Saccharomyces cerevisiae S288C: one gene and its partner. Changing the gene in region 2 together with the main gene of any one other region gives a genetic interaction. Each region holds a gene or a part of one and is shown on either strand. Other genes may lie near its edges.

Region 1 (3,632 bases), on a different chromosome or scaffold from region 2:
AGGATCACCGTAATCTGGATTATGTCTCTTTGTATCTCTGTCAAGTAAATCGGGGTGATTACATATTTTCCTTAGAATGTCGATACCAAATAGAACATTTCTCTTACCGTTTTGTATTTGGTTTAAATCTGAAGAATGCAGAAACTCCAAATATTTGCTTCTTTGATATTTCGTAAGCTTACAAAAGAGAACCATTTCTTTCTTTTGTGGCAGATCTTTTGCAACATCAGCTTTCACACGACGTAACAGGTACGGTGAAATCAAGTCACGCAATGCAACAGCACATTTGTAGCCGGTCTGAACTTGTATGTTTGTTGCGTTTGCATAACCACCAATATTTATAGGTATGACAAACTGTTGTTGAAACACAGGTAGAGTTCCTAATTTACCAGGGAAAATGAAATCAAAAAGCGACCAAAGCTCGGTTAAATTATTCTGTATCGGTGTTCCTGAAAGAATGATCCTATTATGTGTCTTCAGTTTTTTGCAAGTCAATGAAATCTCCGAATCTGGGTTTCTAATCTTATGTCCCTCATCTAAAACAGCATACTGCCATTTAACTTTTAGTAGCTTATCTGAATGTATTCTTAACCCAACGTACGTGGTAATTAAAATGTGCCCATCAGTAACGACTTTATCTATCAACTTATCTAAATGATAGCTTGATTCCAATGCCTTCTTTGTCCTTGTTGAGTTCTTCCAATCCTCGTAAGAAAAATCACTTGGCTTTGAATTCATTATCAAGTTCTCTAGATCGTTTTCATCCATCTTAAATTTTTGGTCAGAAGCCATTCCTGAACCCATTGAGTGCAATATGACCGTCCTCAATGGAGGCCACCAATGCTGGAACTCATTACACCATTGCTTCATCACAGTTGCAGGACAGACAATTAATACAGGGCCTGTTAATAGACCTGAATGATGCAACGCTGCGATAAATGCGATAACTTGAATCGTTTTTCCCAGACCCATTTCGTCACCAATAATACCGCCACAGTTCTGCTGGTAAAGCTCATAGAGCCACTGAACGCACGTCTTTTGGTAATTAAATAACAGCGAGTATATTTCACCGGGTATTTTGAACTGGCTATTAAGTTTTGCGTCGGGAATATTCGGATGAGGTCTTCGCCATTCTGGCAAGTCCGATGACCTTTGACTACCGCAAGAACGTTGTTTCACCCATTTTTTTAACCTTTCTTGATAATACAACTCGTCCCCATCATCCTTCGCCTCACCAGGTTGGCCTCTGAACCGCAGGTCTTCCAGTTCTTTGAGAATTTTATCGTCATTTTCTTCTTCTTCGTCATCTTCACTCTCTTTACCACTCATTTGATAGTCTTGATCGCTGAGATTGTCATCCTCATCCGTTAAATTTTCTACCATTTGTTCTGTTGCCATTTCAAAATCCTCATCTTTTTGTTCGTCATTCTTGGCATACTCTCTGTTTGCAGTGTCCAAGCTGAAACCAGCCTTGTGTCCAAATGCAGTGATCTTACCAGTCCTGATTAAAAACTCCTTCTCAGTTTCACCGGGTCTCTGCAGCCCCTCTTTGGAACCTTTATTTTCAGCACCTTGATCTACCTGCTCTTTCAACTCTTTAATCCTTGATTGGATATCGTCTATGTCCTTCAGAACTCGTTCAATATCGTCTGATTGTAAGTTCTTGATCTGGTCTCGGAGATTCTGCTTAACAGATATCCTAGTGGTATTGTTCAACTTCCTTGTGAGATGATTCTTCTTATTGACATAACGTTGCAGAGCGGTCTTACTCCGTTCTAGACGAGTCTCTTCTTGCTGCAGCGATTGTAGGTTGCTAAAGTTAGTTACATCATTAGCTATTTTTTCCTCCAAACTGCTTTGGGAAAGCACGTTAACTCCCAGATCTTTTAGTGACTCATTGTTTTCAAGTTTCGCATTGTCTTGCTGCTCTTTATCTTCCATCACTGATGTATGTTTCTCTGAGCAATGTTATATATATATATATATATATATTATCAAACCTCTTCCCTTCTTTTTTTTTCTTCCACTTTTATTGCATCGCCCTTAACTGAAATGAAGCTAAGGTATAAATTTGTACTTAGACTGATTATAATTTCTACTTACGGAACTTGTTAAGTGCATTTTTATTGTTCTACCCTCTATTTTTTAAATGTAATGTTCTTGAATACGCTACATGCGTATATATATATATATATATTGTAAGAGGATTACTGGACAAACCGAATAAAAGAGCTTGACGCATATATTTATTTATGTATATATTTACAGGCCAATTTTCATAAATAATCAGTCCTTCTGCTGGCTGTTCAGAAGTTTTAGCTTTTCCATCTCCTCCCTCGGATCAAACTTTCCTTTGCACAAGTTTTCGTACTGTTGATCGTACTTGCCAGTCGACAGAGGTGCGTTACCTGTGAACCGCTTAGTCATGTCGACGATTCCTCGCTTACAATCCAAAAATGCTTTCATCTGAGCAATACAAAGTTCGGGCAGATCCTTATTCAGCTCTGGATTGTCAAGACATTCTTGAGGGTTATGTCTCTCTATCATGACACAGGGCGATCTCTGCAAACATATAGCGACAGCCTTCTTCTGATCTTTACAACTAGCTACCATTCTTTGATATCTACAAACGCACTGCAAATTTATTTGTGTCTATTCTGTTCCGATTAATTGTTATGGCAGCCTTTTAATATACTATCCCTCTTTCTTTAAAGCTGCCCGCATAGCGAAACCTCGTTATGTTATTGTTTCAAGCACTTCAGTTTTTTTAATAATTAAAGGGATCTAAGAACACCGCAAACAATTGAGAAAGTAAACAAACGTGCACACGCAAAGGTAGTTCTCATGTCATTGAACTTTCTTCCAGGACGCCCCAATGCTACCCCTCAGACAGCTTGTCAAGCAACATGGCAAAATCATACCATCTTTGCATATTGTTCAGGGAATAATTTAATCATACTTACCAACAAATTCACTAGGTTACAGACCATATATACACAATCAGACTGTACTGCGGTCGATATTAACAGCCAGAATGGATTCATTGCCCTTTCCTTCCACAATAGGGTGCTCATCTACAAGCCCATTCATCAAATTATGCAGAATCCCAAGTGGACCCAATGTTGCCAGTTGTTCCATGATGACACGCCAGTAAACTGCCTAAGATGGTCTTCTGATAATGAGTTAGCCATTGGATCTGATTTTCTTTCTTTTTGGAAAATTAAGGATAATTTTGGTGTGTATCAACCTATTTTGCAGTGGAACCAAAAACAGCCTAAACCTGTTTATAATGTGATTATATCACAAGATTCGCAGCTGATAGTCAGTATTGGGAAGTACGACTGTAATGCTAAACTATGGAAGCGTGTTTCAATAGTCGGAGAACAAGCCATCTTTAACCTTACTATGTTGCCTCATCCGAAACCTATAACTGCAATGCGGTGGAAAAAAGAGCCAGACCAGGTGAGTAAAAACAACACTGCCTCTCATGCTCTTTATACGCTGTGTGAAGATAAAGTTCTGAGAATATGGTCTTGTTTTGAAATGGAGAAAAACCATACTGTGCAAATATGGGGTGAAGTGCCTCTTTCCCCCACGCAGAAGTTCTGCGTGATAATAGACAATTGGATCAT
Region 2 (3,173 bases):
TCTCTTTCACTGCCAATAGTGTAATTTGTTCTGGTGTCAAAACGCCAGCATTCTGTAGTTGTAACGGCATGAAAGAACCGTTGGAGCTAATTCTGGCGGCATTTCTAGACTTTTTATTAGTAACGGCTGCCAGTCGAAGTTTAATAATGGGCGTTATTGGCTGTACTAATTTCCTCAGTTCTTGTTGTTTCAAAATTCTCCTCCGCTGCCATATACTGAATGGCAGCGTCACGAGGGTTCTAAGGGTCATAGTAGTCAAAGGAACAAGCACTATCCATGGTATATGTGAGGCTTCATGCACTGTTAAAAACGTGTCCGCTACACTTTGAAAAAGTGAAAAGCTTCTCTTTGTACTTGGATTAGTCCTACCATATCGCAGACCGACTGAGCTGCACGAGAATGACGCAAAACCATTTTGACGATTGGCTAACCTCTTTAACATAATGCCATACTTTATCTTGAAATTTTCCTATCCTTGGACCTTTTTTTTCTAATGAAAGTCTTTTTAGCCTTAGTTGAATTACTGGACGGTAGAAAAATTGGGTTTGCCAGCAAAAACAAAAGTGCAGAACGTTAAATAAATGAAAGCATAAACTCATATGCTAGAATATTTACTAAAAAAAAAAAAAAGTAAAAAAAATTCATTACTATTATACATGTGATATCAGAACGGAAGGTTTTACTCAACTTGACTGCCATCCCTCGGTTTGTAGTGAGGCAACAGCTCCACAACCTCAGCTGGTAGTCTACCATCGACCTTGATGGCGTACATACCAGCTATACTATGATCTACGCTCAGCCACTTTGCTACCCACGACTTAGTAGGCTTACACATTCCTACGAGGCCCTCGAAAGAAGGCGACGTACATTCCATTGTAGAAACACCTGCCTCTTCAAAAATACCCTGACAGTTGGGACAACCATCTCTATTAAACTCATTTGTGGTCTGCACTATGCCACACAGCATACAGGCTCTTTCACTAGACATCTCTTACACTGTACCTCGTTCGCTTTTGCCAAACTGAATGTGGCCAGGTGTAATTATTACACAGTACATCCTTCGAGCCCTTTCTTAAATTTCACTTTTTCACTCGATTTCACTCATAGAACGTATAAGGTGACCTTTATCAACATCGAGATTAATTATAGATAGAAGATGATTAAATTATATACATGAATATATTTATTTGAGGTATGGTGTCTAAAGCGTAATATACCTATCTACTTCACGTAAATTGGACTACGAGGACCGCTTTAAATAGTAGTAACCATCTCTTTCCTCCATATTTTTCTTTACAAATTCTGGAAGCTCTTCACCCTTATTACTATCATACAAGATGATACCATTACCTAGAGCATGTTTCTTTTCGTTTCTCTTGTAAAAAAAAAGTACAACAAACGTCCATAAACCGTAAATAGCACCAAAAATTAAGCTCACGGTGTAACCAGTCTTAAAACGTGGTGACTCCACGGTAGGCCACGCCAAGGTAGGAATCCAGGCGTAAGTGGATTGAGAGAAGGAATAAATGGCGATCCATGTAATAGCCTTCACCTGAGGATCAAACCTTAAGAAGTCATTAATAAACGACCATAGACAAGGCGATGCGGCCACACTGAAATACGTGGTGAAGAAAGCGTACCATTTAGCTTTCGAAGGAATATCCCACTTGATAAGTAAGGCACAAGAAACGGTATTCATTATAGCAGCAAAAACCATGAATATCCACTTACATCTAAATAAATCGGCACCAAAGGCACAAAAAATCACATACGCAAATCCTAAACATGCGGGTATAACACTCAGGTTGTTCACTTGGGCAATGGAGTACTTTGTATTAGACTTTAACCACAAAGTATATGAACCACTATACGCAGTCATGTTATTCCACGAACATGTATCAAAAACAACAAGTACCCAGAATGCTGGAGTACAAAATACTTTCTTCCAAAGTTTTCTGCTCCATAATGGGGCTAGCTTACTTTTATCAACACCATCTTTGATTTGGTTCCTCTTATTTCTGGCCCTTGCAATTCGTATTTCTTCGTCAGTCAGAAATAAAGAGTAACACTTAGATGGTACACCGGGAATAACAAAAAAACCAATAATAGCCGTGGGAAGAGAAATTGCAATGGCATCGATCAGAAACATCCATCTCCAGCCTGCTAGACCATGGACGCCGTTCAAACTTTTGAATATGCGACTTTGCAGAAGTCCTGAAGTCACGGAACCCAATTGTTGCCCACAAAAGAATAAACAGACTCTTGAATTAATTTCATCTGGGGCATACCAACAACCTAGTATATATTGGGACACTGGGTAGTAAGCAGCGCCAAAGGCACTTAAAATAAATCTGTAAGCCCTTAGTTCGGCTAGTGAGTTTGCCCTATAACATGCAAATGTGAACCAAGTCCAGCCCAAGTCCATTACAGGCAAAATAATATGAGAGGGAAATCTTGGTAACAAATACATAAATGGTAATTGGAAGACAATGGCACCAACATTAGCAATAGTAGAAGTGTAAACGTAATCATTACCTTTCATGTTTAAATCTTCCTTCATATTGGAAACATATGCGTTAGTGTAGTTATTCAAATCCACTGACTTGGACCAACATAACATAAAAAAGTATAAAGCAATAATAATGTCTAGCTTGTAAAGAAGCCGTCTTTCAGCCTTGGTTTGAGTAGTATGATTAGGATACAAAAACTCGTACCACTTACGTGATTTCTTGTATTCCTTATTAACACGATACTCGAATTCATCAAAATATTTCCACCATTTACGCCCAGCTTCATCTCTCACTTCATATGGCAAGTCATGCCTTAAATTGTGAGGATGAGGTTCTACAGCTGTAGTTTCTGCCGTAACGTCTGTCTTCGAGGACTTATCTACGCTATGATGTAGCTCCTCTTCAGCTATGATACTGGAGTTAGTATCGTCTGAGTATAAGTACTGATCATCTTCGGGTAGTTTTCTCAAATGTGGGAAGTAGCTCCTCCACGATTTATTCGAAATTGTCATTATCTATTGATTTGTGTCGGTCCTTTTTTGAAAATTGAAACAAATGAAAAGGCGATTGCTCGTGGGTGTAGAGCCTTTATATATAGTTATGTTATAGCCGTAAGAGTCATGCAGATTTTTGGGAATGGCTATCATCAAACTTAGCCTTGCA

The links. Genes that interact genetically often act in the same process or in processes that back each other up.
Region 1: of SPT4 (region 2) and RAD26, a mutation in one rescues a mutant of the other (synthetic rescue), as found in Saccharomyces cerevisiae (6 studies listed by BioGRID, with this or other methods).

Annotation. Positions count from the first base shown.
Region 1 is NC_001142.9:495,664-499,295, reverse strand, and holds the start of RAD26 (DNA-dependent ATPase RAD26), read right to left. Parts: upstream 1,942-3,632; coding exon 1-1,941. Other genes in the region: PET191 (Pet191p), read right to left, coding at 2,287-2,613; RAV1 (Rav1p), read left to right, coding at 2,845-3,632. UniProt on the Saccharomyces cerevisiae protein: May be involved in the preferential repair of active genes.
Region 2 is NC_001139.9:616,837-620,009, forward strand, and holds SPT4 (transcription elongation factor SPT4), read right to left. Parts: upstream 989-3,173; coding exon 680-988; downstream 1-679. Other genes in the region: membrane insertase COX18, read right to left, coding at 1-442; VHT1 (Vht1p), read right to left, coding at 1,241-3,022.